3 linked regions of the Rhinolophus ferrumequinum genome follow. The protein of the gene in region 3 purifies or fractionates together with the protein of the main gene of each other region. This does not show direct contact. Links are inferred from orthologs where the notes say so. Each region holds a gene or a part of one and is shown on either strand. Other genes may lie near its edges.

Region 1 (3,748 bases), on a different chromosome or scaffold from region 3:
AAGATCACTGATCACAGATCACCATAACAAATACAATAATGAAAAAGTTTAAATTATTGTGAGAATCACCAAAATGTGACACAGACACAGGGAGTGAACAAATGCTGTTGGAAAAATGGCACCCACAGACTTGCTCAAAAACGCAATATCTGCAAAGCACAGTAAGGCAAGGTATGCCTGCTTGTATTAAATTGATAGAGAAAAGAATGTTATTTTAACCCATGTTAAAAAAACAAAACAAAAAACCCACCACTAAAATTAAACCGTTTCTCATATGTTTAGTGTATTTCCTCTTTTCTGAATTTTCTGTGTCCACAGCCCATTTGTCTCTACCAGTTTCCATATTCTTGTTAATTGTTCATTTTTACAGGTTCATTGTATAGTGAAGATGTCATTTTTTAATTACACCCCCACACATACTGAGGGGAACAGAAGGATTTTATGCCTTACCTGGTTTTTTGCCACCATAAAAGTGAGTGTATTCAGCACAGGTAATGTACCTGAAGAAGAGAGAGAGAATCGTACTACCATCCTCTTTATAGAGAGGACAGAGTTTCTGGAAGTAATGGATAACTGCAGCATTTCAATCATTCAGCAAATGCCTATTAAACACCTACTCTATGTCAGGCACACAATGATAAACACAACAGACATGGGGATATACAAATTGGTAAACAAATTGGTAAACAAACAGTGCTTTGCTCTGAAGGAAATGAACTAAAACTAATAGGCGGGTTGGTGATGAGAAGGAGCTAGCCCTGTAAAGATGTGGGGAAAGAGCTTTCCAGGCAGAGGGAGCAAGCAGGCCTAGCATGCATAAAAGCCCCGAGGCACAGAAAGCTGTTGTGTTCCCAAACAAGGGCAAAGTCACTGAAAAAGAGTGTGCATTGGGGGCATGTGGCAGCAAAGAAACACGTCACAGTGGTCTGATCACAGGGGGCCTGGCAGGCCATGTAAGGACTGGATTTGTGGGACGGAAAGCTGTTGGAAGGTTTGGGGCAGGGCCTTGATATGATCTACCATCCTTCCTCAAAGCATCACTGACAGCTGCGTGTAGAAGGACAAGCAAAAGAGGCAGCAGAAATCCAGTGACTACAACGGTCCAGGAAGGAGTTGGCATAAACTCCACCTACATGGAAATTGGTGGACAAGAGTGGTCAGTTCCTGGAAGAGCCAGCAGGACTTAAGATGGACTAGAGGAAGAGCGAGCTGAGGGAAAGAGGCAACCAAGGCTAACTCCCAGACTTCTGACCTGAGCAAACTGAGTAGCTATGTGACCACTGAGATAGGGAAGATGGGGGAGGGGGCAGGCTCTGGCGCTGAAAATCAAGAGTTTGGGGCATATTAAATTTGAGACGCCTATCACACCTCCAAGTGGAGATGTGGAGTAAGCAGCTGACTACTGCAAGACTGGAGAGATCACCCAGGGAGAATGTAAACGGAGACGAAACCTGGGGGATGTCGACCTATGAGTTCTTGGAGAGGGGAGCAGGATCCAGCACAGGAGACTGAGAAAAGAGAAGCCACTGAGGTAGACTGAAAAAAAAAAAAACAACTCATAGACAGACAATCGTTTAGTGGTTACCAGAGGGTAAGGGGGGTGGGGGGTAGGAGATGAGGGTAAGGGGGATCAAATATATGGTGATGGAAGGAGAACTGACTCTGGGTGGTGAACACACAATGGGATTTATAGATGATGTAATACAGAATTGTACACCTGAAATCTGTGTAATTTTACTAACAATTGTCACCCCAATAAATTTTTAAAAAAACAATTATGCATTTTTCCAAAATTGATCACTAGATACTTTAGAAATAATAAAATACGGAATAATTAAAAAAAAAAGAAAGAAAGAAAATAAAGAGCAGATACCAAAGATGGGCTTCCAAAGGAGAGGGGTGGGCAACTGCTGTTGACAAGGTCCACAAAGAGAGGACTGAGAATTGACCACTAGATTTAGCAACATAGAAGTTACTGCGATCCTGACAAGAGTCCTAAGGGGCGAAAGCCTGACTGGAGTGGTTTCAAGAGACAGCAGAAAACAGCAAGTAGACACAGGTCTTTCACGTAAGAAACATGGTGGCAACTGGAAGGGAATACGGGCAAGGTTAGTTTGTTTTAAACGGGGAGATTCTGTAGCATGTGTGTAGGCTGATCGCCGCGAACCAGCACACAGCGAGAGACTGGAGGTGAAGAGAGAGGAATTAATTCGGGAGCAGAACTCGCGAGTGGACAGGCGGGCGGTCCGGGACAAAAGCTTAGTCGAAGGGACGGTGCCCGCGCGGCGCCGAAGCGGTGGGAGGGCCGCACTCAGGTGAGGACACCTACGGTATATTAGAGCCGGGATTTCGAGAGACCTCGGCGGCTGGGGAAGAAGCGGAGGTGTCCTGGAGGAAACGACATCAGAGAGGGACCCTGGGGACCAGCTCTGAGAGAGAAAGGGGGCGGCGCTGAGTGCGGGACAGGCGAAGACTGAGGCAGAGTGGGGCCCCGCTGCCGGCTGAGGCTCAACTTACATCTTGTCCTTCTGATGCTGTCGCTTCCCCATGGCGGCGGCAGAGGCAGTGGCAGGAGCAGGGAGCGCAGAAAAACAACAGACAACTCAGTCCGCTGTGTCTCAGCGGAGCTCCATAACCACTTCCGGGTCCCGTCCCGGAAGCGGGCCCTCCGCTCGCGGAGAACTGTGGTCCCTGGCGCCAAGCACGTCCGTTCGCGGGCGCGGCGGCCGGTGGACTGAGTTCCGAGTTAGACTTCCGTTTTGTCCGGGCTGAGCTGCCTCCACCTCGAAGCCCCATATTCTTCGGGGGTCTCTCTCCGGAGCGCCTCGCCTACCGGTCCAGCTCCAATCAGTGCCATCCCTACTCAAAACCCGCCCTGGTTTGACCTGGGTTCTCAGGTCTTTTAAATAAAAGTCAGCCTGGAGCCTTAAGTCCCACCAGCCTTTGCCCCATCTCTGCTCCCTTCCGTGGCAGAGGCCTCCAAAGCGACGTCCACATTTGCTGTCAACACACTCACCTCCCAGTTCTCTCCACCTATACCATTCCTACCGCCTCCAGGGCCTTCTCTTGAGCGGCCTAGGGGCAGGTGGCCATCAAGCCTGAAGGTCAAAAGCCCTCCCTGATCCCTTCTGTCTCTTCAGAGAACCCTTACCTCAATCAGATCACTATGTTGTGTGCCCCAGCCTACGCCCTGGACCTCTGTCTACACACAAGCACTGGTTGATCTTCCCCAGGCTAGTGGCTTTAAATACCATTTGACTCCCAACACTAATATACCAGCGCTCCAGATTCCTGACCTCTACTCGGGAACCCACTGACCTCAAATTTAATGTGTCTCGTCAAAGCAGAATTCTCCATTCCCTTACTCCCCACAATGGTACCACTATCCACCTAGTGACCCAAAGCCAGTTGTCCTTGCCTTTCTCACCTCATAGCTGGCAGCTGGCTCCTCATTTCTAGGTTTCAACATAAATGTCACCTCCTCAGAGACCTTCTCTGACCACCCACCTCATACATCTCCATCTCAGTTCCCGTAGGGCTTATCACAACTTGTAATCTGTATGAATTTGACCTATGCACTGGTTTACTCACACACACACACACACACACACACACACGAGGATGGATGTAGTAAGCTCCTTAAGGGCAGAAACCCTAACTGCTTGATTTATTATCTCCTGTCCCAAGCAAGGTATGGGGCATACACAAAGGTTCAGTGAATATCTGCTAATGTCCAGTAGTTATCAAG
Region 2 (3,748 bases), on a different chromosome or scaffold from region 3:
TGGTAGCTAAACAAATAGTCAGTAGGAAAAAGAAAACAGGACAGAGTCACCCCTACACTTCTTGTCTAGGTTGCATATGCATCTAACACAGAGCACTTCCTGGCTGACTTTAGAGCTGGTGGTACAGCAGTTGGCCATCTAGTGGAAGGCGTAAGAGAATTACCAGTGCTGTCAGGCAAGAATGCTCTAGGAGCAGGCCTGCAGGAGTTCTGCAGACCAAGAGGGGCAGGACCTGGCAGGTCTGGGATGCTAACCACAGTCTATAGTTTGATAAAGTGAGGGAAGTTTTTCTTCAAACAGCACTTCTTGTCTCCCTGGTAGCATCAGCATGAGGCCCAGAAACCTAACCAACTGGAGAACAGCTCCTTTTGTAATCAGTAAGAACACTAACACAAGCCAAAGAAGAAACATAGGTAACAAAGAATTTTCTCACCTCTGCCAACTCAAATTCAACAAAAGCAAATCCTCGGTGCTTTTCTAAAAATAAAAAGGAAAACACAAACAAGTAATTTCCACGTGGGGCAATGGGAAGAAACAGATGGTCACAAGAAAAGTAAAGTTAGTCACATACCATATCCAGACACTAGAAATTCACCCAATCACTATTTGGACTCTCATTCTTTGACTCTTCCTAGTTTAAACAAGATTTCAAGCAATATTAAACGTTTTTTAGTGAATATAGCTAAATAATAAACTACACTTTTAATCTTTAAGCATTCAATTCTTCTACCAAAGCCAAATTAAAACCTTAAGCTTTGCATGCAAGGCAATTAGAAAAAAATACATCATTTATTCTCTCAATTATTCAATACAAATATACATTTTGAGCATCAACTGTGCATAAAGCATGAATCCTGAAGATAAGATAAGGCTGCTCAGTCTTTATCCTCAGGAATATGCTGACCTACCTAAAAAGGCCAAGCACAGAAGTTTTAATTTAATTAAATTAACCAACTAACCTTAGAGAACGAATATAACTTACGATTTTTTACAGATAAAGATCCCAGGCCCAGAGATTTTAAAGACATTGCTAACAATCATACAGGGTCAATGATAGAGCTGGGCCTAAAACTCCAATGTTAAAAATGACCAACAAAGGTAAAATAGAAAACTGAACTGTGATACCTATTGTAGAAAAACTTATCCAGGTGCAGAGGCCAAGGTCCCAGTGTTGGGTTTGGGTTTCCTGCTGCCCTGTTTAATAGCACAGCTGCCAAGAAGGGAGCACGTGTGGTGGGGTAACCAGCAAGGATCCCCATGTAGCTCAAAACCTGTCTTCCTATTGGGCTACTGAAAATTTTGTGTTATCTCAAAGCCAACAGGTGGGACTCTGCAAACTTATGTGACAGTTCACAAACACAAGCCTCAGAATATTCCTTCGGCATCAAAATGGCTGCCATGCTGCCCTACTGAGGCACTCACCGGAACTTTCCTACATACTAACCATATTTGGAATGCACTATGATATGACTTTAAAATTTTTTAAAAAGTTGTTTTCCTAGTAGGAGGATTCTGAACATGAGAGACACTAAAGGACTCACCTGTTTCATAATCCAGAGGAATCTGAATATCTGTGATGTCTCCGAAAGGAATAAAAGCAGCATGAAGAACTTTGTCGTCCACCTCCTCTGCAAGTCCACCTGCAAAGACATCAAGGGCCTTCTGAGTCACTGTCCTTCATTCTCTTAAGAAGTCCCTGCAGCCTAGTTAGCATGCTATAGCCAAGGGGAGGGGTCATTCCATCCAGGACTTTGGGTATAAGCACCCCTCTCATCTGCTCCCTCATCAATACTTATGAAACACACTGCTCTCTCTACCCTTCTTGCAGATCCTCATCTAGACCTAGAATTACTACAATGACTTACTAACTGATCTCCCTCTCCTCCACACAGCCAATTAGAATGATCCTGGGAAGGTGCCGATTTTAACCCATCAATTAACTGTTTAAACTCCTTCAGAAGTTTCCCACTGGCCTCAGGATAAGGTACAAACTCCTCAGCAGGCTCTTCCTAACCGGAGCCCTGCCCACTTCTTCAGCCTCTTTCCCTCTGCTTCCCCAATTCCATGGGTTTCCCGCAAAATGACCCACCTGCCCCCACAAGTAAGACTATTTCACACCGCTGGCTTCTGCTCTTGCTGCTCCTCTTCCGTAAACACATTTGCCTCTACTTTGGCTACCTGGCTAGCTCCGGCTCATCAGCTCCGGAGTCACCGCATCCTGAAAGTTTGTTCTTACCTCTTCAGATGGAAGCATCATTTCTCCCCGCACCCAGCCCCATGTCATCATTGTCCGTCCCTATCAAAGCGCTTAATCAAACCGTGCTGACTGAGATTATTCTCACTTCTACCTGGCTAGTCTGGCAATCCCCTCCTTTAGGGCCGGGGCCAGGACTGAGCCATCGCTGCAAATGAATGTTTGTAAAATGAGTGGGCGCGAGGATTTGGAGGCCCATAATATTCCTCTACCAATCCTCCGGGCCCAGGAGGCGAAGAGGTTCCTGTTAGAGCTCAGCAGACTTGGAAGGGAGCCGGCAAGATCTCTACGTTTCGGGCTAACATCCTGAAGCATAGCAGTAAAGCCATAGGTGCCGCCTGGACAGCTGCTCGCCGCCCTTCGCCTCGGATCCCGCGCCTGGCCCCAACTGGATCGGATTCGCCCAGCCCGCGCCTAGCGCCTGCGCCTGCTCACCCACGTACAGCACACGCTTCGTAGTGGCCATCTTGCTCCCGGCAGTCCCTCCGGAAGCCGGCGTTGGGCCCACCCACCTCGCCCACGGCCCCGCCCCTCCGCTCCGCCCTCGCGTCTCGGCGCTTGCAGACCCCGCCCACTCCTGCCAGGGCACACCCCGCTTCCCGCGCTACCTGAGATAAGCGTTTAGGGGGAAGCTCCCTGGTCCAGGTGCCGCCGGGGCTCAGTGCTGCTGGAAAGAAGTCTGGTCGGAATCAGGCGGAGTCCTCAAATAATAAACTGCTACAAATAAACTGCGGTCCGCCGGCCTCCCCCGGCCGCCTATTTTCGGGCAACCTGTGAGCTAGGAATGGTTTTTACATCTTTAAATAGTTGGGAAAAAAATTAAAGCAAGACTATCTCTTGACACGTGAAGAGGTATGAAATTCAATTTTCAGTGCCCATAAATAAACTTTTATGGGAACACAGCCATGCTCATTCCTTAAGTATTGTCTGTGGCTGCTTTCACGCTACACAGGCAGGAGACGTAACGGCCTGCAAGGCCTAAAATACTCGGTATTTACCACCTGGCTCGTCAGGAAAAAAGCGTGCGGACTCTTGGAATAAACCAACTAAAGCATAAATCACAGATTGACGTGTGGTAGAAAACAACAGGGCCACCTATTTTAGAGCAGTGGATTAAGACCTCCCTGAGGTCACATTTAAGCTGAAATCTGAAGGAAGAGGAGCCAGAGAGAGGAGGGCACTGGGAAAAGGATTTCAGGGAGAGGAGACAGCTTCTGCACAATCAAGGAACTGAAAGGCCACATGGTGGGGGATATGAAATCAGGCAGGAAAGGTGGGAAAGGGCCACACCCTGCAGGGCCCTGTAAGCCATGTGGAGGATTTGGGGGCTTTGAGAAGCTACCAGAGGTTGTAATGAGAAGTTCATGGTCATATTTATGTTCTAAAATGGGCTCTCCCTGACCACTGTGCCCAGAATGGATTGGGCGGAACCCTGGAGACCAGGAGGTTAATGCCATAGACTAGGGAAAGGTTGATGGTGGCTTTCTCCCTCCA
Region 3 (3,748 bases):
ATAAAACCTGGGTTTTAGGGAAACTAGACCAAATTTATACAAAGCTCTTAGAGTCCCTTAGTAAGAACCCTGTAAGTCTTAGGTGTTATTATTACTGTTCTCTTTTATTTGAATATGCTGTATGCATTTCTATGTTCAGACATTGCTAATTCCCTTTTTCCTATTTGAATACCTCTATCTCCAAAGGGAGAAGGAGTGATCTAAACTATCAATGACCAGCAAAAGGCAACTGTTACTCCTTGAGAAAACAACTTATATAGCAGGTCCTTGAAAAATGTCATTTTCTTTGTTCAACATCCTTTCATTATAACACTGATGAAATGCTGTAGGAATTTAATTCTTGTTTATATCAATTACCTATGGTAAAATTCATTTCATTGTATCATTTTGCTGCAGTTCCAAGAACATATCAAAGACGTTAAGTGAGGACTTACTGTATATTCTTTCTACAATAGACAGAACTGATAACTCTGAACCCTAATTTGCCCCAAAATGTAGTAATAAAATTTAAGACTGGATGGAATATTAAAAAAAGGTAATATTTATTTTATACACTAGACAGTAAACTTATGGAACATGTTAGGTAAAGAAAAAAACAAAGCCTGAAAAATTATAAATGGGTTCTGGATTTAGGGCAGTGGCTCTCCAACTTTGGTGTAATTAAAATAAACTGGGAAGCTTTCAAAATTAATACAGATGCCTGGGCCCCACTCCAGATTTACTGAAATCTCTCTAATCGTAGGGCTTGGGCACACACATTTTTAAAAAGCTTCATAGGTGATTCACGTGCACCAACATCTGAGAATCACTGGTTTAATCAAGAGAAATTTTGGGTTAAGGAGGCTGGTCCTGTTTGGCATATTATTTTTCACCATGTTCTCCTGCAGCATGTTTTCGAAACAGAAACAGAATACTCAGAGGACTGATTAGCCCTGAATGACTTATGTATCTATGAACAATGTTTCTAAAAACAAAAAAGCAAAGCCCCTCCCACTCTGGAGTTTGATTTAGGGGGTGAGAAAAGAAAAAGCCATATACATCCCAAATACCACACTTGGTATTCATCTACATGCCTGCCTGTTGGTCTTACTCCCATTATAAATTTACAAACAGAATTACTTAAGTCAATATATATTTAACTATGTACAATATTTACAGCTCACAAATTTTCCAACCCAAAAAATTATACATTTAAATCCGTAAACATGTGAAAAAGTTGGCATTTTAGCATTTACTTCAAAAATTTCAAAACAACTTTACCTCAGAAACATTTTACATGAATTTTCCAAAGTGCTCACTATACCACAACAACCAAGTTATCAAACCTTTATGGAGTAACCAATAGAGAAACACTGTTATCCAATCGCAGAGTGTTAGAAATCTTGGGTCCTTGAAACCCTATAACAAAGCCCCTTTCACCCTCCAATCCTGAGACAATAAATCCTGCAGTTCTCCCTCATCGTCGCTGTCAACATTCTCTTCTTCCTTTTTCTGCAGTTCTTTTATGGTTAGAACCTCCTTCAGTTTATTTTTTATTTCATCCTGGCGATTCCGCAGGTTCTCCACCCGACGGTAACACTCTATCTGTTCATCGATCTCCCCAATCTGCCGGTCCAACCGTCCCTCCTCATCCTCTTCAGCAACTATGGCTTCGGAAATAGTGTTGACCTGTCTCATGGCTTTTTGAAATTCGTCCCACTCTTTGTCCATCTGATCCTTTGGGGCATCAACCTTTCGTACCTTCGCATCTATCTCAGGGTCGTCAAAAAACCCTTCTGGTAATGCTTCCGCGGTGTTTTCTCTCCTTTCCACGACTTTTTCGTGTATTTCTGCTTTCTCAATTGACCCTGAATGAGGAATTAAAGGGGCCTTGGGAGGATTTGCAGTCGAGAAATCGCTTGGCAGGATACTACTTGTTGCCTCCCGGGAGGAAGCAAGTGAGTGTTCCTTGCCCTGTGCGTCAGGCGGCTGCTTGCTGGCGTCCCCCCGTTTCTTTTCTCCTCCTTCCTCCTCCTCCTCTTCCTCATCTTCATAATCAGGGAGTAAACCGAGTCCCGAAGCCTTACCGAGAGCGGCTCTAGTGGACTCCTTTCCTGTTTTGTCAACGTTGGTGGGCACCGCGGACGTGGAGGGCTGCACCTGCGGCACCGCGGAGGCCTTCGCTCTTTTGGCATCGTGGCCACCTGCGTCCGGCGCCTTCCTCTTGGTGGACTGAGGCACAGCGCTGGTTGATGGCCCCTCTGTGGCTTCCTTCGCATCTTTCAGTCCGGCTACTTTCTCTCGGTGCTGTTTTCCCAGGACGTGCGTCGGCCACAGGAGCTCGCTCTTAACCGGGGTGTTACACAGCACACAACTCAGCTGCCCCAAACGGTTGTACCTCGCAAGTGGAGAGTCTATCCGTTTCCGGTTGGTGCTCAGGCGCTGCTTCTCCTTCATCAACCGCCGCAATTCATCTTGACTCACCACTCGCTTCCCGCCCGAAGACCGAGCCGAGGCGGAGGACGCCATCTTTGCGACCGGCCCCAAGGCGATTCTGGCTTCCGTCCCGGCGATGTTTGTTAACGTCACTTCCTGTCCGGTCGGGGATTGGCTGAGGTTTCGGAGCGTGGGCCGTGGCGCCGGGGTGGCCCTTAGAATCGCGGCTCAGGCTGTTTTTGCCGGTTAGGTGGCTCCTTCCTCTATCGGGTTATGTCTGCAATTAAGGCGATAAACTCCAAGGCTGAGGTGGCGCGGGCCCAAGCGGCCTTGGCCGTCAATGTATGCGCCGCTCGAGGGCTGCAGGATGTGCTGCGGACCAACTTGGGTCCTAAGGGCACCATGAAAATGTGAGACGGCGGTTGGAGCGGCGGTTGGGGCGACTGGAGTTTGTTGGGTGTCGCAGCGCGCACTGAGGCAAACGTTGCGCGAAGAGATTCGAGCAATGTGGACACACTTGTGGGCCTGGTTTCCCTCTTTCTCATTCCTCCCCTGAGGTCATCTCTATCCTGATGGTGGAGGAGGAGAAAAGCCTTCCCGAGGAGAACGCTCCACGAGTGAATCTGTAACCCCGCCACCCCACCCCCCCGCGCCCCACCAGTTTTCGTTAAGGTTCATATGCAATTAGAAAGTCAGTTCATGTAGTGTTTCATAAGGAACATAAACCCTCTGACTCCCTTCTCTTTAATACTATATGTCCTTCCTTTTGGTTTTGTTTGGCAGTGTGTTGTGGAGAGGGCGTGGGATTTGGAGCCTGGTAGGCATGGGTTCAAATCCAAGTTCCTCTCCTAGGTAGCTGTCAGTCCTTAGGCAGATTACTTGAACACTCTTTGACTAAGGGCCTTCAGATCTGTTCATCCTTTCAGCATTTATTTATTTAGCACCATTATTTTCTTTAGAAGAGAGTGACGGAAAGAGACTAGTGTGGGCAGAAAGGTGTAAGAGGAGAGAGTCTTCGAGGAATGAGCAAAATAATATTAACACTAAAGGAGAGCATTAATGTACTAACTGGGATGCTGGGAACACGCTGATGACCCAGATAGTTTCAGTTCTTGAGATTTGGTAGAGACGAAATATGTATATGTCCACCTATGTATATACCCACGTCCATACATGCATACATATATGTGATTATACTGAGGGAAAGGGACTAATAATTGATGGGAGAAGAATCCTCTCAAGTAACGGATTTTTTAAAAATCTTTTCCCAATTACAATAGTGGAAATAATTTTATTTTCTTAAATTTATTTTTCATTTACAGTTGATATAATA

The links.
Region 1: the proteins of ZNF830 (region 3) and PPIL2 purify together in Homo sapiens (co-immunoprecipitation; 4 studies listed by BioGRID and IntAct, counting the BioPlex papers as one, with this or other methods). This does not show direct contact. The link is inferred for Rhinolophus ferrumequinum from reciprocal best matches to the Homo sapiens genes ZNF830 and PPIL2.
Region 2: the proteins of ZNF830 (region 3) and PPIE purify together in Homo sapiens (affinity purification with mass spectrometry; 3 studies listed by BioGRID and IntAct, counting the BioPlex papers as one, with this or other methods). This does not show direct contact. The link is inferred for Rhinolophus ferrumequinum from reciprocal best matches to the Homo sapiens genes ZNF830 and PPIE.

Annotation. Positions count from the first base shown.
Region 1 is NC_046308.1:23,003,700-23,007,447, forward strand, and holds the start of PPIL2 (RING-type E3 ubiquitin-protein ligase PPIL2), read right to left. Parts: upstream 2,658-3,748; 5' UTR 2,550-2,657; coding exon 2,518-2,549; intron 501-2,517; coding exon 451-500; intron 1-450. UniProt on the Homo sapiens protein: Has a ubiquitin-protein ligase activity acting as an E3 ubiquitin protein ligase or as an ubiquitin-ubiquitin ligase promoting elongation of ubiquitin chains on substrates.
Region 2 is NC_046292.1:27,843,674-27,847,421, reverse strand, and holds the start of PPIE (peptidyl-prolyl cis-trans isomerase E), read right to left. Parts: upstream 2,648-3,748; 5' UTR 2,160-2,647; coding exon 2,090-2,159; intron 1,641-2,089; coding exon 1,542-1,640; intron 478-1,541; coding exon 434-477; intron 1-433. UniProt on the Homo sapiens protein: Involved in pre-mRNA splicing as component of the spliceosome. Combines RNA-binding and PPIase activities.
Region 3 is NC_046304.1:22,917,608-22,921,355, reverse strand, and holds ZNF830 (zinc finger protein 830), read right to left. Parts: upstream 2,558-3,748; 5' UTR 2,509-2,557; coding exon 1,399-2,508; 3' UTR 187-1,398; downstream 1-186.